2 linked regions of the Rhinolophus ferrumequinum genome follow. The protein of the gene in region 2 purifies or fractionates together with the protein of the main gene of each other region. This does not show direct contact. Links are inferred from orthologs where the notes say so. Each region holds a gene or a part of one and is shown on either strand. Other genes may lie near its edges.

Region 1 (10,002 bases), on a different chromosome or scaffold from region 2:
CTGGGGCCTCAGGGTAGGGCACAGACAGCCTGCTTGCTTCCCACTGCCTTTCTAGGCCATTGTTCTACCCTCCTGGCTCAAACCACTCAGCTCTGAAGGTCATGCAATCAGATACCACCTGCCACCCTCTTCATTGCAGTTATCTCCAGATCTCTCTCATTTCTTAAAGATTTTAGCTCCTGGCTCACTCTCACATCTCCTGCCATAATTGTGAATGATTTCAATATCCATGTGTTTTCTAATGCCTCACTTTCTCAGTTTCTTCAATTCCTCTCCTCTATTGGTTCCCCTTGACAGCATATAAACATACTGTATTTCCCCTATACCCTCCATTGCCTGCCTGCTACCATTTCGCTGTTTGCCTTATAGCAATGCTCCTTGAGAGAGTTGTTCTACACTCACAATCCCCCCTCCACGCACAAACCCACTCCCCTTGGGCTTTTGCACCACTACTGGAGCAGTTGCTGACAAGGTCACCAGTGATCTCCACGGTGCAAGATCAATTTTCATTTCTCTGGCTTGTACGTGGCATTCAGCAGTTTTTCAGCCTCCTTCTCCCTGAAATGTCTCCCTTAGCTTCTGGGACACCACTCTCTTTTTGTTCAACACTTACCTTACTAGCTACTTCTTCTCGGTCTCCTTTACTGGTTCCTCTTCTGCCTAAACATTGGAGTTCCCCAGGGTTCAGTGCTCAGGCCTCTTCCCTCATCAACACAGGTTCTCAACTGGGGGCCATTCTGCCCCACTCCCCGAGTACATATAGCAATATCTGGACTTTTGCTTGTCACAACCGACTGTGTGCGCGTACACGTGCATGTGTGTGCACTATTGGGACGTAGGGGGTAGACGCCAGGGATGCCGCTCAACACATTACAACGTACAGGAAGCCCCCACAACCAAGACTTATCTGCCTCCAAGTGCAATCCCTCCAAACCCTGATTTATACTCATTCTCTACATGACTTCATTCAGCATAACAGCTTTATATGCCACCCAATGCCAACAATTCCCAAATCTGTATCTTCAGCCCAATGTCTCCACTGAACTCCTGACCTCTGCCTCAACACTTCCACTTGGCTATCTAACAGGGATCTCGATCAAAACCTGTCCAGAATAGAATTCTTGGACCCAACAAACCTGAAAAACAGAAACAAAAATACCTACTTCACACACAGTCTTTTCCAGTTCAGTAATGGCATCTCTATAACTTCTCAATAGAGAAATCTGGAGATCGCCCATGACTCTTCTTTTTCTGTATACCCCATATTTGATCCAATGGTAAATTCTAACAAATCCACCTTCAAAACATGTCCACAACCAGAACATTTCTCACTGCTTCTACCAATGCCACCCTGGTCTAAGCCATCATCATCTCGTCTGAATTGTGGCACCAACTTCTTAAATGGTCTCCCTACTCCCACCCTTTTCTCACTACACTCTGTTCTCAACCCATAGCCACAGCAATCCTTTAAAAACACAACTTAGATTATGCCATTCCTTCACTTAAAACTCTCAAATGGCTTCTTTCCATCTCACTAAGAGTAAAAGTCACGGCCTTAAAATAACCGACAAAGCCCTGACCTGGTCCTTGGCTACCTTTCTTATTATTCTACCCTTTGTTCACTCGTCTACAGACTCGTGTACCCTTGTCATTCTTTGAACACAACACACAAGCTCCTGTCTTAGGGTTCTTTGCACTTTTTTTCCTTAGAAGGGTCTACCTGAAATTCTCATCACTCAAACATCCTTACTCCTCTGCTCCAATGTCACCATTATCACTGGGTCTTGCCTGACTACCCGATGTAAATATTAACTTCCACAGGCATTCCCCTTCCCTCTTATCTTGCTTCCCTAGTCTCTGTTCCACTCGTCACCTGATAAGCTGCATTTACTTGTTTTCCTTATTACTGTTTAGGGCCTGTTTCCCTCCACGAAAGCAGGGACTTTGTCTGCTTTGTTCCCTGCCACATCCCCAGTCTCTAAACATTGACTGTAACATATTAAGAACTCAAACATCTTTCTGAAGGAAATGAGATGTGTATCTTTAACATAGGTCTTTCTTCTGTGCCGCAGACCTTTAAATTTCAGCACTTATTTAATATTGCCAAAGGGCTGCTGCAAATACTTCACATTTAGTACGTCTAAAAGAATTATTCAAATCTCTCAAAACCCATCTTCTATATCTCAGTAAATGGCCACCCCTCTGCCCTATACATCTGGTTAGTCACACTAGAAACCAAAGAGTTATCCTTGCTCCCTCCTTTTCCCTTATCACCTCCCACTCCATATTCAATCTATCACAGAGTCCTAGTGAATCTACCTTCTCAATGTATGTGGAATCCATCCATTTCTCTTTTCCTAGCCATTCTCACAACCAGTATCTCTTACTTGGGCCATCATAAAGGCAAATTGTTCTTTTGTATTACATATATTTAACCCAAATCCACTTTCCACAAAGTAGCCAATTTTTAAAAAAATACAATTCTGATCATGTTAGTAACCATTAAAAACCCTTCAATAATTGTTCAACGTACTTAGGATAAAATCCAAAATCCTTAAAAAGGACCTCAGGGTCCTTCATAATGAGTTCTGCCTCCCTCCCCATCTCAGCATCTCTCACATTATTTTGTTTCGCCCATTGCACTTAAGTCACAGACCTTCGGTCAGATCCTCAAACCTGCCAAGTTCTTTCCACCTCATGGACTTGGCACATTTTGATCCCACTTGCCGAACTGCTCTCTTCCTCAATCCCCTGCCTGGCTAACCATTCAGATCTCAGGTTAAATATGACCTCCTTAAAGGCCTTCTCAGCTCCACCAATAAAATGTGGTCCGCCCTTAGCCTCTCATAGCCTCTACACTATTCTTCTGAAGCAGGTATGAAACATTTGTATTGTTATACTTATGTTGTGTCATTAATGTCTTTTCCCTTCTTTAAACAGCCCAACGAAAGGTGAGTCCACAGCTAACACTGCTACAACATCTTGCATGATGAAAATGGTGGTGGTTTTTGTTCATCACTTAATCCCTAGCATACCTAGCACAGTGCCTGATGTGTAAAAGCTCACACGTTTGCAGAATGAAGTTGTAAAGCACTACTGTATTTTCCCGAAAATAAGACCTAACGGGACAATAAGCTCTAGCATGATTTTTCAGGAGGACATCCTCTGAACATAAGCCCTAATGCGTCTTCTGGAGCAAAACTTAATTTAAGACCTGGTCTTATTTTCGGGGAAACACTATAAAAACACAATGGACTGATGTTTAAAACTGATCTTTGGGCCTCTATCCCCTAAGCTACATTTCCTCTGCTTTTAGTGCTGCCCTGGGAGGGAACCTCTCTTAGAACTCTGGTCTCCTTAATCTCCTGATTCAGATACAATTAGAAGACAGTCTTTCTCTTCCTGTCAATTACTGCTTCGGAGAACAGCGGGACAGCCTTTATAAACAGCCACGAACATTCAGACACCAACTCGACTTTCCAGCGGGGTTTGGCGAACACAGCACTTACCAGTGAATGAACCTGTTTCTGGTGACAGAGAACAACTTGCCACTTTCCACATAGTAGAAGCCTCCAGCGCTCTCACTGTATTTGACGGTTCCGGTCAAGGCATTTGAAGTCCCTGCAAAAGGAGAGGGGTCAGCCTGCACACGTGGTTCTCTGAGGATGACAGGAACTGAGGGCGCCGAGAAAGCAGAGGATGACAGACTGATAATCCATACGAAGAGAAGGGGAAGAAGAGAAAGAGGAAATGGGACACTAAGGAAGCTCAGATCTCGGGGCTATAGGCATGTGGACTTAAAAGGATAAACTGGGGATCAGAGATTTAGGGACTCATGGGAGGAGCCTGAGAGGAAGGATCGGATCGCGCCCTCTTTGGCTGCTTCCGTACCAACGCCACAAACTGTAAATTCCCGAAAGCGCCTCGGCCTTTCGCGCTCCGGACCGCTGAGCTCTATAAAGCTCCGTTCCAGGGATCCCGCCGCCGCCATCTTCCCGCCGCCGCCGCCGCCGCGAGGCCCGACGGGACACCAGCACAACCGAGTGGTTGCCGTCACTTCCGGGGGCGGGGCAGGCGGAGGCGAGGACACTCGGAGATTGCCGGGGAGAAGAATGGCAGCTTCAACTGTGTCTTCCGGGGCTCCTCCGAGTGGCTGGAGAAGAAGGGTTGGCAGGGAGAAAAACAGAAGAGAAAGGGGCAGAGGGAGCCGACTCCCTCTGCGGGAACCTTCGCTTGGCCGGCCTGGACGCCTCCGGTCGTGGGGGTGGGGCGGAGCCCTTTTCCCGGCGGCCCCAGGGCGGGGGGCGGGGCTGGGTTCCATTTTAAAAACCACGGCGCGGGCGGCAGGATGAACCTCCTCCGAGGACGATGTCCGGGAGGCCATGGCGCCCTCTGCCGGATTCCGACTTTGCGATCCCCTTTCGGTGAATCTGAGTGTCCGTCTGTGAATCTCCGTCGGGTCTCGGTTTTTTCACCCTTCTGTGACACGTGGGATCGGGTGAGGGGGAGTGTAGGGCAGAGGGGCCTTTTGCTTTGCGTTGGAATTTTTTCAAGAGACTGTATTCCTGTATTTTTGTAGGATGAAACATAATGGGTTCAATTAAATATTGATGCTGCAACCTGCTGAGATTACCTAAATGCTGATTTCTTGGCATACACGAATTTGCTTTTCTTCGCACCCGTGATCTGGATGTGTGGAGGTTACTGTGGTTTTACCCCTATCTAGGGCAAAGTAGATGCTCAATATTGAGGAAAATGCTAATTTTGCGGGGGCAAAGTTACTGTCTTGATAGTTAACGGTTTGTTAAGCACTTCTGTTATTTTTTTGGTGTTACCAGTGACCGCAAACCTTATCTGTCCTCTGTTTCATTCATCCTATTCTGCCCACTCTCTTCTCTCCTAGAACACCAACTCTAGCAATGCAATCCCTCCATTCCACCTACAATCATCATTTCACTGTTACTCATTTGATGTTTCCTTCTTGCTCTGCTTAAATTCTATTTAAATTAGTGGTACCTCGGTTTTTGAACGTAATCCATTCCGGAGGACCTTTCAAGTTCTGAAACGTTTGAAAACTGAGGTGTAGTTTCCCCATAGAGAGTAATGCAAAATGGATTAATCCTTTCCAGACCTTTAAAATCAATCCCTAAAACTGCAAATTCAGCATGAATTTTACTGTCTAATGATACCATAGATCAAAAAAATTACAGCGGTCGTAAACCGAAATGTTTGTCAATGGAGACATTCGAAACTGAGGTACGACTACTCCCTTGCCCAGCTCTGGGCAAGGGAATTCATCATACTCTGATAAAATCTACAACTGTGATCAAATCCAAATCTGCAGCTGAACAGGCCTGCAGGAAAATACAGTCATACTGACATACCTCCCTCTGCCTCCATCATGACTCAGAATGTTGAGTGGGCCCATACTGCTGCCCCACAAACACTGTATATCCCTTGTCCACTTACTGTCCTCGATGAATATTTCACAGCTCCTCTAACCTGCAACACCTCCTCTCCCATCCTCACTCTCAGCTTGCTTCTGCACTTAGAAAAATGATGCAATCAAGAGTTTTCCCCCACTACCACCTCTCCCTACCTACCAGCCCGCTGTATCCACATATTCTGCCTTCCCTTCCTGTTACTATAAATAGAAGTGTCCCTGAGTTTATGGAAGAACAATCTTTCTACTTTTTCCTTAGACCACTTGCCCGAGGACATCATTCCAGCAATTGTCTCTCCTACATCTTCAGTTTCCCCCCTTTTCATTGCGTTGTTCCTCCAATCACACATTCTGTTATTTCTCCTCCCATCACAAAAAGCCTTCATTTGAGCTCTCAAGTTACTACCTACAAGGTTGGAGCCCCTCCCCACCTTGACTGCAAAATTCAAGGTCATTCTATTTAATTTTCTCTTATTCTCTCTTAAACCTTCCTTCTCTAGGCCTTTGTCAAGGTCAGCAATGACATCCTTGTTACTGTATCTAATACTGTAAACTTAATTGACCACCTTTAACATTTGATCAATTGATTGCTCCTTCCTCCTGGAAACACTTTCTTCACATGGCTTCCAGGGCACCACACTCCCTTAATTTCCTCCTATTTTACTGACTCTTCTTCAGACTCCTTTGCTAGTTGTATCTCTTTTCCCTTACCTCTTAATGTTGGGAGTGCCCCAGAGCCCATTTTTTGGTCCTGTCTATACACATTCCCTTGAGGATCTTACCCAGTCTTCTGGTTTTAAATGCTGGATATGTAGTTCCCAAATGTATATCTCCAGTCCAAATCTTTCGCCTGAACTCCAAGCTTATATATCCAACTGCATATATACAGAGGGTACCTTTTCCTTTTAAGAAAGGAAAAAAACTATAAAAATTAAGCTGATGGTAACCACTTTGAGCACCTCTTGTAATTGCAGAAGTCAGACGTGACTTGTATTCATCTTTTGTTATGGGTACATGTTGAGTATTACAATTATAATACAGTTTTCCTTTCTTAAAATGTGTATACATTTTTTGGATATATATATATATATATATATATATCCAATTGCCTACATTAATATGTCTAAAATTAAAGTCACATATGTCCAAAACTGCAGTCCTGATCTCTTCCCCTAACACTATTTCCACATCTCACCTACTGGCATCCTTCCAGTGCCTCAAGCCAAAATCCTTGGAGTCATCATTGAGTCCTCTTTCTCTTTTACCTTAGATCAGTGCCATCTCACCTTCTCTGTGCCATCCATCACCCTGTGTCTAAACTGCCAACAGCTCACCTGGATTATTGTAATAGCCTCCTAAATTGCCTCCTTGCTTTCTGAATCCTTATCCCCCACCCCTCTACTAGACTCCACACTCCAAGAATCATGCCTGGCCCATAAGAGGCAAATATTCAGTAAATATTTGAGAAATGAATGGTCCAGGCAAAAGTTGATGAAGTCCTGAGTGGCATGGAGAAGATGAGAGTAAATTTGAAGGAATATTTAGGAGATAAAATCAGTTGGATCTGGTGAAGAATGAAAATAAGAGAAGGTCTAGTCATCCAGGCTGACTCCTGTTTGCCTTGACAACTGGGTGCCATTAACTCGGTGGGAATGGTAGAAGAGGAGTAGGTCTGCGGAATGGGAGAAAGCTGAGTTGTATTTCCTTGTAGGAACAATCAATATTGGTAAATGTTCTAATGTTGCTGAATGAAAATACTTCATTGTTTAACAAAACTACCATTTAAAACTTTTCCTGAGTCAGAATTTCAAGCTTCTGAGATTCCACCCAGATAATACAAAGTAATTTCCCCATCTTTACACCCTTAAATTTAATCACATCTGCAAAGTTCCTTTTACTATGTAAGGTGACACATTTATAGATTCCAGGGATCAGGATGTGAACATCTTCCTTGGGGTGGGGACTTTTTCTACCTACCATATTTAAAATTTACTAAGTATGTCACATTTTAATTTCATCCTCATAACATCCTTACAAGGTAGTAGTATTCTTGTAAGGTAGATAACTTTTCTGAAGCACTTGTTAAAAATACAGTTTCCATCAGTTGCCACCACCTTAACCCAGAGTTCAACCTTAGCATTTCTCATTACTAAGGACAACCAGATATAAATGCCTCCTGGTGTGATACAAAGTGAAGAATACAGCATCATCTGTAAGGCATTTTTAAACAACGTTGTTAAGATATTATTCACATGCCATAAAATTTGCCTCTTTAAAGTGTACAATTTAATGAGTTTTGCTTATTCACATAGTTGTGTAACATCACCGCAATTAATTTTGGGACATTTTTATCAGTTCAAAAAGAAATCCCATACCCATTAGTGGCCACTGCTCATTTCCCCCTCCTCAGCCCCTGGAAACCATTAATCTACTTTATGTTTGCCTATTCTGGACATTTCATATAAATGGAATCATACATATGTGTCCATTTGTGTCCAGCTTCTTTCACTTAGCGTAATGTTTTCAAGGTTCATCTATGGTGTAGCATGAATCAGTACTTCATTCCATTTTATGGCTGAACAATAGTCTATTGTATGGATATACAACACTGTATCCATTCATCAGTTGCCAGACATTTGGGTTGTTTCCTCTTTCTGGCTACTGTGAAAATGCTGCTAAGAACATATGAAGTATTCTTGCCAAAAATATTTAATTCAGATTATGGTAGGCAGAATAATGGCCCCACAAAGATGTCTACCTCCTGATCCCTGGAACCTGTGAATGTTACTTCCATGGTAAAAGGGACTTTGTACATGTAAGGTTAAGGATGTAGAGATGGAGAAAGAAGCCTGGATCACGCAGGTGGGCCCTAACTACTCATAGTCCCTCAAAGGAGAGACCTTTCCCTGCTGAGGTCAGAAAGATGTGAGGACAGAAGAAAGGTCAAAGATATGTGACATTGCTGGCATTTAAGATGAAGAAGGAGGCTATAAGCAAGGAACATGGTCAGCCTCTAGAAGCTGGAAAATGCACAGGAACGATTCTCCCCTGGAGTCTCCAGAAAGGAGTGGGAGGGACCCTGATTTTTGCTCTTAACTGAAGAGAGCTACCTTGCCTATGGTTATAGCCCCTGCATCCAGTGAGGTTTCAGTGTGGAAAGTCCAAAGGGCCTGCCACCTAGCCTTGATCTAGGAGAACTCTGAAGGACCATCTCTGCTCCAGAGTGCTATGTAGGATCGGCTGATGCCTCAACGTCTCTTTCTGCCCAGTCCTGCTTCCCTTAGTTCCTTTGAGGTGCTGTTCCTGAGCGCAGTCTCCAATACACCTCCTGTAAGCCTCCTGTGCAAATCTATGCCTCAGAGTCTGTTTCCCGTGGAATCCAACAACACACACACACATACACACACACGTACCCCACATAGACACACACGACATCTTGTCTAAGGATGGGAACCAACAGGGATAAAGAATTTGGAAAGGAAAGGAGTTTAGAGTAGGATCTATTCTAAATTCCCAAAGTGATAATAAAATATTGGGAAGAACATCAGCAGTGCATTGGAAGACTTGGATTCCAGTTCTAGCCCTGTCTCAACTAATCTCTTGTCACTTGGCAAGCCACCCAACATCTCTGTGCCTCAGTTTCTCAGAAGAGGGTGCTGTACATACCAATCTTCAAGCTCTCTTCTGGCACTAAAGCTCTAGGCTGGTCTGTGGCCTAAAACCCAGAGACAGTCTGGATCTTCGCCTTCACCTCTCCCTCATTTCCAGGCTCTGATCTGAGCCTACTCCAGACGCTCCCCAGGACAAGGACAGGCATGTCTTCCCTGAGTGATGCAATCAATGTGAATATTTAGTCATACTTCTTTTTCTTTAATTTAAAAAATTTTTTAAATTAATTTTTACAAATTTTTTTGGGGAACAGTGTGTTCCTCCAGGGCCCATCAGCTCCTAGTCGTTGCCCTTCAATCTAGTTGTGGAGGTGCAGCTCAGCTCCAAGTCCAGTCGCCATTTTCAATCTTTAGTTGCAGGGGGCGCAGCCCACCATCCCATGCGGGAATTGAACCGGCAACCTTGTTGTTGAGAGCTCGCGCTCTAACCAACTGAGCCATCCGGTCGCCCCTCTTTGCTTTTATTTTTAAAAACGTGTAAAATTGATGGGACATCTTACAGTTTCCTAGGAATCCAAAAATTGTAATTTTTGACAGTGAGCTCTGTCATTCCTTATCTTGTCTTCAACATCCATCAGAATACTCAGAAGTTAAAAGTTCCTAGTAAGTGTTTGAAGGAATGACTGAAGGAACAAATAAGTGCACATATGCATTCTTAAGAAAACTCAAATACCGTTTGAACTATGAATACGCTGGTTGGTATGGTTTTAACATAAATGGAATCACATTGCCATCTAGTGGTTAGGTGGTGACTTCATTTAGAAACAAAACGCAGATTGTTTCCAAGATTACTGTTTGTGCAGCAAGTTTCGTTTACAGATACTTTCCTAAGAACTATATTTTTTATTGCTTGACACTGTATTCTGTGAATGTCTTGGTTTGCCAGATCAC
Region 2 (10,776 bases):
GTATGGTTTTCAAAACACTAAGAACAGAATTACCATATGATCCAGCAATTCTACTTCTGGGTTTATACTCAAAAGAGTTAAATGCAGGGTCTCATAGTGACATCAGCATCATGGCAGATGGAGAACTCCATCATGGAGAACTCTTGGTATCTCACCTTAAAATTGTAAGTCAGACAAATATAGTTAAACGAAGGATCCGCTGCTCAACACACAAACAGGTCTTTCATGAAAGATCCTGAATAGCCAAAGCAATCCTGAGAAAAAAGAACAAAGCCAGCAGTATCACACTGCCTGACTTCAAATTATACTACAATGCTACAATAATCAAAACAGTATGGTGTTGGCAGAAAAATAAACACACAGATCAACAGAACAAAAATGAGCCCAGAAATAAACCTGCACACATACTGGCAATTAATTTTCAACAAGGGATCCAAACTATACAATGGGAAAAGGAAAATGTCTTCAATGAACGTCGGGAAAATTGGAAAGCCACATGCACAAGGATGTAACTAGAGAGTTGACACTATACATAAAAATTAACTCAAAATGAAGTAAAAGACTTGAATATAAGAACTGAAATAAAATGCATAGAAGAAAACATAGATACTAAACTTATGGACCTTGGTCTCAGAGGGTTTTTTGTGAACTTGACCCAAAGGCAAGGGAAGTAAAAACAAAAAATAAATCAATGGGACTACATCAAACTAAAAAGTTTCTGCACAGGAAAAGAAACCATCAATAAAACAAAAAGACAACCAACTGAAGGGGTGAAGATATTTGCAAACGATACCTCTGATAAGGAGCTAATATCCAAAATATATAAATAACTCATACAACTCAAAAACAAAAAAGAACAAATACTACAATAAAAAAATGGGCAGAGGACCTGAACGGACACTTTTGCCAAAAAGACATACAAACGGCCAGCAGACATATGAAAAGATGCTCAAATTCATTAGCTAAAAGGGAAATGCAAATCAAAACCACAATGAGATACCACCTCACATCTGTTAGAATGGCTACTATCAATAAAACAAGAAATAAGTATTGGAGAGGACGTGGAGAAAAGATAACCCTAGCACACAGCTGGCAGGAATGTAAATTGCTGCAACCTCGATAGAAAACAGTAAAAAATTAAGAATAGAACTACCTTACATGACCCAGCAATACCTCTTCTGGGCATCCACCCGAAAAATTTGAAAACATGTATTTGTAAAGATGTACATATCTGTAAAGATATATGTAGCCCTACGTTCACTGCAGCATTATTCACAACAACCAAGACATGGAAACAATCTAAGTGTTCTTCGATCAATGACTGGATAAAGATGATGTGGTACACATATACGATGGAATACTACTCAGCCATAAAAAATAAAATACTACCATTTCTGCTAACATGGATGGATCTTCAGTATCATGCTAAGTGAATTAAGTCAGAAAAAGACAAGAACCATAGGATTTCACTCATATGTGGGATATAAAACAGAAAGCAACAAAGAAACTCATAGACACAAACAACAGTACAGTGATTACCAGCGGGAAGGAGATGGTGGGGAGGATAAAGAGGGCCAATTACATGGTAACCGAAGGAAACTAGACTTTGGGTGGTGAGCACAACAATGCAATATACAGATCATGTATTATAGAATTGTACACCCGAAACATATGTTATTAACTGCTACCCCAATAAATTTTAAAAAAACAAAAGGTCTCAAAGAGTTATTTGTACATCCACATTCATAACAGCATTGTTCACAATAGCTAAAACGTAGAAGCAACCCAAGTCCACGGAAAGATGATGAGTAAAAAGTGGTATATACAATACATGTAAGGAACTATTTAGCTTAAAAAGGAAATTCTGACATATGCTACATGTACAAACTTCAAAGACATGCTAAGTTAAATAAACCAGTTTAAAAAAAAGACAAATGTATGATTCCACTTACATGAGGTATCTAGAATAGTCAAATTCATAGAAATAGAAAGCAGAATGGAGGGTAGGGGGAATGGGGAGTTATTGTTGAATGGATACAGTTTCATTTCGCAAAATGAAAAAGTTTTGTAGATGGTGGTGATGGTTGCAGAATGTACCTAATACCACTTAACTGTAGACTTAAAAATGGTAAAGATGGTAAATTTTGTTACATGTATTTTGCCACATAAAAAATTTTTAAAGAAAAATTGTAATAATGCCCAACATGGAAAATGATGTTATCAAATCAATACTCACACTGGCAGTGTATAGAACAACCTTCAAAAAGGCAATTTATCAATTATTCTCAAAAGCTTTTAAAATATTCACTAATTTCTCTACTGGAATGAGCCTAAGAAAATCATCCAAAATATATAAAAAGCTAAATTAATGAAGATCTTCATTGCAACAGTACTCTAACAGACAAAACGTACAAACTGAAAGATCATCTAAAAAATTCAGTAGTAAGTGGACAACAAAAAAAGTATGGACTATTCAGTTAACAGACAATACAATATCCACAACAGTCAAAAGGTAGAAGGATAAACAAAATGTGGTGCAACAAAATTATTCAACCCTAAAAATGAAATTCTGATACACTGTACAAACATAAATGAGCACTGAAAATATCACAGTAAGTGAAATAAACAAGACACAAAAGGACAAATACTGTATGATTCCATTTATGAGGTACCCTGAATAGTCAAATTTATAAAGAGAGTTGGAGGTAACCAGGGGTTTGGGGTACAAGGGAAGAGGGAGTTACTAGGTACAGAGTTTCTGTTTAGATGAAGAAAAAGTTCCTGAGATGTACAGTGGTTATGGTGGCACAACAATGTGAATGTTGTGCTTAACAGAACTGAACTGTAATGTACACTTTCAAATTGTTAGTTTACCACAATAAAAAAAAAAAACTTTAAAAAGTAGTGATTCCAAACCTTTTACAGGTTAAAAACACTGCATTATTCGATGGATTTGAGGCACTACTCTTTTTTAGAGAGGAAAATTAGTTATAACTATCTTTGAGGAATCAATGGTATCAAACTTGATGGTTAAAAACGAGAAGTAAATATAGTCTTTCAACTTTTCAGTTATTTTGGAGTTGTTGAAAATTCAAATACTCCACACTCCAGCTTTCATCTTCAAGTCTATTATCGTTTACCCTTTATCTCTTAAATTCCTAAATCCCAAATAGTATCTTCTTAGTATAATAGAAATTGTTATTTTCAGAGCAGTATACAGACGTGTAAATAAACTAAGAAACACACCCTCCAATTCCTCGAGTGAGGAACTTCATTGGGTGTAAATGAATCTGTAATTTTCTTTCATCGCGAAACAACGTAAACCTCCTATCGGAAGACAGAGAATAAATAACCTCTCCAGGTGAAGGACGAGGCACACAGAGCTTAACACTACGAACTGACTGTCCTACAAGACCCAAGGCACAGTCCTTCTCACTGAACAAGAGTGGTTAACTCATTACAGATATTGCCAGAACTCCGCGGACAAAGCAACCCCTACTGGGGACTAGGCTGAGGTAGCTCGCGGACTCCCGCCGAAAAGGACCCGATACGGCGTACGCAGGAACTCGGAGGGCTCCCAGCGTCCCCCGGCGGCGGGAGCGCGCACGTGACCAACAGGCCCGCCCAACCCGCCCGTTCTACGCACGCGCAGGGCAGCACGGCCCCGAGGCGGCTGAGACCCCACAGTGAGGGGACGAGGATGGCGAAGCAGGCCACTTGGCCGAGGTTTGCCGCCTCCCTGGGGCTCCAGGTCTTGTGCCCGGCAGCGCGCATCAATATCGGGAAAGTCCCCTTTCCACGCGCGGGTCCCTTCGCTCACGCTCCCAATCCCCTCTTTCCCGGCTCAGCCTCGCCCCAAGGTTCCGCGCGCACCTTGACGCTCTGGTCGCTGGAGCAGGTCGCCATCCGCCGCCCATGGAAATCGAAGGAGACATCATGGATGAGATCCTTATGGTCCGCTGCGATGCTGCGTGCCACAAACATGGCTTCCGCCGGGCACGCACCTCTTCCGTCTGCCCCTCCGGCGTCTGAAGAGGGCGGCCGCGGCAGAGCATGAATCGCAGTCCCCCCAGACCCCGACGCCGGGACGTGCACGTCTCGTACGGCCTGCGCGCCCCCCGGCCCGCCCCTCGTCCCGTCATGCCCCGCGAGGCCGCAAGGGCTACGCCTGATCCTCCTAAAGGAAACCTTCAGTGGACAGCCGCCAAATTCAAGCAGATGAGCTTTGCGGTGCTTTAATGAAAGTAAAAAGAACTCATTGTTAAAGTATAAAAATTAAGAAAAATGAAAAAGTTAAAATGCTATCCACAGTCCTCAATCTTGAGTCAATTTTGGTCAACGTTTCGATTAGTTTCCCCTGCTATACGGGCAGAGTGCTCAGAGTGAGTCAAAATGTTTAAAGGTTTCACATGTAGAAAAGGCTTGGAGGTAGAACAGACAGGAACCAGGATGAATGAATGCAATGAGATACTAGGAATTACAAAGTTCTCCAAGTAGCAACTTAAATCACCTAGGAGAAGGACAGGATCCGAAATGAACTGGAAGAATGTTGAGCCAGAGTTCTCAATGAAGGAATAAGTCAAACGGGCGGCGAGACGGGGAGGGGGGGGGGGGGGGGAGAACACTGTGAAGGAGACCAGTGAAGAAGTCCGCAAATCAAGGATTCTGCCAAACCCAGTAAGTGGAGGAATATTCTGCAGAGAGGTTAACAATTTAGAGGATTTTGTTTATCAGACATTCCAGAAGGCTTAGTGGTAGAGTCACTTAGAATAGGAAACAGTGGAAGATTGGGTGAGGGAATGCAAGTAAAGAAAAAATAATAATTGAAAATGAGCCTGCCAAAGGAGGTTCGTAGTATTTTAATTTTAACCAAGAATGACAAGAAAGTGGGGGCATGGTGAGATTAGCAAACTAGAAAGTTTTCAAAACAGTCCCAGCTGTCCCCTGATGGATTACATAGAAACCAGCAAAGGGAGGTGGCGAAATGACCTCGCCTTTCTGGAATTTTCTTTACTTGCCTTTTTTCCACTGAATATGAATGATAAGATTTTATTGGTACTTTAAAAGACAGACCTCAAATCTGTGAGTTGCAGGTATGATAACTAATCATTGTAATTGCTGTAAGATCAAAGACTAATTTCTAAAGAAAGTACTCACTGTCTATAAAAGTCCAATCAATTTATAAAAGCTCCAAAACTTTTTAAAATTTTTTAATTTAAATATTTTTTAAAGTTAAATTTAGAGACAGTAAACGAATCAAAGGTTACCAGAGATATCTGGGTGGGGGATTAAATAGATGAAGCAAAGGGAATTTTTAAAAATAGACTTTATGTTTTATAATAGTTTTAGATTCACAGCAAAATTGAGCAGAAAATACATGTGTTCACATATACGTACCTACCCTCTGTAGGTATGCTTCCACGAAGATGTGCTTCCACGATATGCAGATTATTTTGAGCTAAAGGCAAAAGAGACATAAGGGGCTCAAGGGACACTTCTGCCCCTCCCCTTTATTTAGAGGAATTTGAATTAGGGGTCTTGGTCATAATAAGAGATCAAAGAAAACCTATATGGCAGGGCAAACTACTGATTACTGAACATGTGCTCTCCCTGCAATTACCTTCTAAAGTCCCAAGGTGCCTTACCTCATCCTTAGCCCAGAATGTCATATACAGCTTATTTTTTCTGCTGTTTTTCAACCTCTCATGTATGTAGGGCGTTTCTGACTCTCCTGTATGAGGGGTTCCCATATATAGTATGTAAGTAATTAACTTTGGTTATTTTCTCTTGTTATAGGTCTCATGTCTATTTATTAGACGAACCGAAAGAACTGTGAGAGCAGAGGAAAGTTTCTTCCTCCTCAATTCCTACAAAATTCCTACCAACTGGCCTCTACTACTAGCAATACCTAAAAACGCACTGTTATGTTTCTTACAAATGATGAACCTACGTTGACACATAATCACCCAAAGTCCATAGTTTACCTTGGTGGTGGACATTCTATGGGTTTGGACAAATGTGTAGTGATGTGTATCCACCATTGTAGTATCATACAAAATACTTTCACTGCTTTAAAAATCCTCTGGGTTCCACCTATTCATCCCACCCTTCACCCAACCCCTGAAAACCACTGATTTTTCCACTGTCGCCATAGCTTTGCCTTTTCCAGAATGTCATATAGTTGGAATCATACAGTATGCAGCCTTTTCAGATCAGCTTTTTTCACTTACTAATATTTATTTAAGTTTCCTCCATGTCTTTCCATGGCTTGATAGCTCATTTCTCTTTAGCACTAAAAGACATTTCATTATCTGGATGGATCACAGTTTATTTATTCATTCACCTATTGAAGGACATCTTAGTTGCTTCCAACTTTTGGCAATTCTAAATAAAACTACTATAAGCATCTGTGTGCAGGTCTTCGTGTGGACATAAATTTTCAGTTCCTTTGGGATTGCTGCATCATCTGGTAAGAATAGGTTTAGTTTTGTGAGAAACCACCAAACTGTCTCCTGAAGTAGCCGTACCATTTTGCAGTCCTGCCATCAGTGAATTGCTGATGCATCCTATTGCTCCACATTTTCACCATCACTTGGTGATGGTTGTCAGTGTTCTGGATTTTAGCCATTCTAATAGGTGTGTAGTGGTATCTCGTTATTATGTTAATCTGCATTCCCTTGATGACATGATGTGGGGCACCTTTTCATACGTTTATTGCCATCTGTATGTCTTCTTTGGTGAGGTGTCTGTTCAGGTCTTTTGCCCATTTTTTAATTAGGTTGTTTTCTTGTTGTTGAATGTTAAGAATTCTTTGTATATTTTGGATAATAGTCCTTTATCATATTTGTCTTTTGGAAATATTTTCTCCAAGTTTATGACCTGTGTCCTCATTCTCTTTTTTTAAAATAATTTTTTTATTTTTCAATTACAGTTGACATACAATATATTAGTTTCAGGTGTACAACATAGTGATTAGACATTTATATAACTTAACGAAGTGATCACCCCAGTAAATCTGGTACCCATCTGATACTATACTTATTACAATATTATTGACTATATTCCCTATGCTATACTTTACATCCCCATGCCTATTTTGTAACTACCAATTTGTACTTCTTAATACCTTCCCCTTTTTCACCCATCCCCCCAACCTCCCTCCCATCTGGCAACCCTCAAAATGTTCTCTGTATCTGTGAGTTTGTTTCTGATTTCTTTGTTCATTTCTTTTCTTCTTTAGATTCCACGTATAAGAGAAATCATATTGCATTTGTCTTTCTCTGCCTGACTTATTTCACTTCGCATAATACCCTCTAGGTCCATCTATGTTGTTGCAGATAGCAAGATTTCATTCTTTTTATGGCTGAGTAATATTCCATTATATATATATGTACCACTTCTTTATCCATTCATCTATTGATGGACACTTTGCTTCCATATCTTGGCTATTGTAAATAATGCTGCGATGAACATATGGATGCATATGCATATGTCTTTTCAAATTACTGTTCTGAGTTTTTTTAGATAAGTATCCAGAAGTGAAATTACTGGGTCTTTCTTTGTATCTTGTTATAGCCTTTATTTTAAAGTGTATTTTGTCTGGTATAAGTATTGTTACCCCAGCTTTTTTTGTTTTTTGTTTTTCATTTCTGCTTTCATGAAACATCTTTTTCCATTCTTTACTTTCAGTCTATGTTTGTCTTTCAATCTGAAGTGAGTCTCTTGTAGAGTACATATGTAAGGGTCTTATTTTCTTATCCATTCAGCCATACTATATCTTTTGATTGGAGCATTTAATCCATTTACATGTAAAGTAATTGTTGATAGATATGTAGTTATTGACATTTTATTATTCATATTATTTATCTTTTTCCCCCTTCTTCTACTTAAAGAAGTCCCTGTAACATTTCTTGTAACACTGTTTAGCTTTTCTTCTCTGGGATGTCTCCTCATTTTCTTGAACATATTTTTAAAATTTTATTTATGTTTTTATTAGTTTCAAGTGTACAGAACAATATACTGATTAGACATTTACACACCCCATCAAGTCTACTTACCCATCTGACACTGTACGTAGCTATTACAATACCATTGACTATATTCCCTGTGCTGTACTTTACACCCAGTGACCATATATATATATATATATTTTTAAATTATAATTGACATTCAATATTATTTTATATTAGTTTCAGGTATACAGCACAGTCGTTAGGCATTTATATACTTTAAGAAGTGATCTCCCCTGATAAGTCTAGTACCCATGTGACACCAGGCATCATTTTCACAACATTATTGACTATATTCCCCATACTACATTTCACATACCTGTGACTATTTTGGGACTACCAATTTGTACTTCCTAACTCCTTCACCCAACCCCCAACCCCCCTCCCATCTACCAACCATCAGTTTGTTCTTTGTAGCTATGAGTTCATTTCTGTTTTGTTTGTTCTTTTATTCTGTTCTTTAGATTCCACATATATAATTGCTTCTTGGCCTTTTGGCTAAGATCAAGTGTAGATTCCACATTTAAGTGAGATCATATGGTATTTGTCTTTCTCAGTCTGACTTATTTCACTTAGCATAATATCCTCTAGGTCTATCCATGTTGTTGCAAATGGTAAGATTTCATGTATTTTTAGAGCAGAGTAATACTCCATTGTGAAAATGTACCACAATTTCATTATCCAACTATCTATTGATGGGCATTTCAGTTGTTTCCATATCTTGGCTATTGTGAATAGCTCTGCAATAAACATAGGGGTGCATATATTTTTTCAAATTTGTATTTCGAATTTCTTTGGATAAATACCCAGGAGTGGAATTTCTGGGTCATAAGGTAGTTCTATGTTTAATTTTTTGAGGAACCTCTATAACATTTTCCATAGTGGCTGCACCAATCTGCAATCCCACCAACAATGCACGAGGCTTCCCTTTTCTCCACATCCTCTCCAACACTTGTAGTTTTGTTGATTTATTGACGATAGCCATTCTGACAGGAGTGAGATGGTATCTCCTTGTGGTTTTTATTTGCATATTTTATCTGATGATTAGTGACATTGAGCATTTTTCCATGTGTCTAATGGCCATCTGTATGTCCCTTGTGGAGAAATACCTATTCTGGTACTCTGCCCATTTTTCATTTGGATTGTTTGATATTTTTCTATGTTGAATTGTATGAGTTTTTATAAATTTGGGGTACTAAACGCTTATCAGATGTATCATTGGCAAATATCTTCTTCCATTAAGTAGGATGTCTCTTTGTTTTCTGATGGTTTCCTTTGCAGTGAAAATCTTTTTAATTTGATGTAGTCCCATTTGTTTATCTTTCTTTTTTAAGAAAATCAAACTTTATTGGGGTGACACTTGTTAGTAAAGTTACATAGATTTCAGGTATACAATTCTGTATTACATCATCTATAAATCCCATTGTGTATTCACCACCCAGAGTCAGTTCTCCTTCCATCACCATGTATTTGATCCCCTTTACCCTCATCTACCACCCCCAGCCCCCCTTAACCTCTGGTAACCACTAAACTATTGTCCGTGTCTATGAGTTTTTGTTTCTTTGTCTTGTTCTTTGTTGGTTTTGGTTCATATACCACATTGCAGTGAAATCATATGGTTCTCTACTTTGTCTGACTTATTTTGCTTAGCATTATAATCTCATTAATCCATGTTGTCACAAATGCTCCTATTTCATCTTTTCTTATCGCCGAATAGTATTCCATTGTGTATGTATACTGCAACTTCTTTATCCATTCGTCTATCGAAGGACATTTTGGTTATTTCCATGTCTTGGCCACCGAAAACAAAGCTGCAATGAACATTGGAGCACACGTGTCTTTATGGATAAATGTTTTTGGATTTTTTGGGTAGATACCCAGGAGAGAGATTGGTGGGTCATATGGTAATTCTATTCTTAATTTTGTTGAGGAACCTCCACACTGCCTTCCATAAGGGCTGCACCAGTCTGCATTCCCACCAACAGTGTATGAGGGTTCCTTTTTCTCCACAGCCTCTCCAACACTTGTTACTATTTGTCTTGTTGATGATAGCCATTCTGACTGGGGTGAGGTGATATATCATTGTGGTTTTTATTTGCATTTCTCTGATGATTAGTGATTTTGAACATTTTTTCATATGTCTATTTGCCATTTGTATGTCCTCTTTGGAGAAATGTCTCTCCAGGTCCCCTGCCCATTTTTCAATTGGGTTGTTTGTTTTTCTGTTAATGAGTTGTATGAGTTCCTTATATATTAAGGATATTAGCCCCTTATCGGAGGCACTGCTTCCAAAAATCTTCTCCCATTCAGTTGGTTGCCTCTTTATTTTCTCGATACTTTCTTTTGCTGTGCAGAAGCTTTTAAGTTTAATGTAGTCCCGTTCACTTATTTCAGCTTTTACTTCCCTTGCCTTTGGAGTCAAATTCATGACATGCTCTTTGAACCCAAGGTCCATAAGTTTAGTACCATGTTTTCTTCTATGTAGTTTATTGTTTCAGGTCTTATGCTTAAGTCTTTGATCCATTTTGAATTAATTTTGGTACATGGTGACAGATAGCATCCAGTTTCATTCTTTTGCACGTGGCTTTCCAATTCTCCTAGCACCATTTATTGAAGAGGCTGTCTTTTCACCAGTGTATGTTTTTTGCTTATTTGTCAAAGATTATCTGTCCATATTTATGTGGTTTTATTTCTGGGTTCTCAGTTCTATTCCATTCGTTTATGTGTCTGTTTTTCTGCCAATACCATGCTGTTTTGATTATTGTTT

The links.
Region 1: the proteins of SEH1L (region 2) and NUP160 fractionate together in Homo sapiens (co-fractionation; 3 studies listed by BioGRID and IntAct, with this or other methods). This does not show direct contact. The link is inferred for Rhinolophus ferrumequinum from reciprocal best matches to the Homo sapiens genes SEH1L and NUP160.

The regions. Positions count from the first base shown.
Region 1 is NC_046294.1:13,503,926-13,513,927, reverse strand, and holds the start of NUP160 (nuclear pore complex protein Nup160), read right to left. Parts: upstream 4,226-10,002; 5' UTR 3,992-4,225; coding exon 3,892-3,991; intron 3,622-3,891; coding exon 3,510-3,621; intron 1-3,509. UniProt on the Homo sapiens protein: Functions as a component of the nuclear pore complex (NPC). Involved in poly(A)+ RNA transport.
Region 2 is NC_046302.1:5,254,237-5,265,012, forward strand, and holds the start of SEH1L (nucleoporin SEH1), read right to left. Parts: upstream 4,115-10,776; 5' UTR 3,985-4,114; coding exon 3,874-3,984; intron 1-3,873. UniProt on the Homo sapiens protein: Component of the Nup107-160 subcomplex of the nuclear pore complex (NPC). The Nup107-160 subcomplex is required for the assembly of a functional NPC.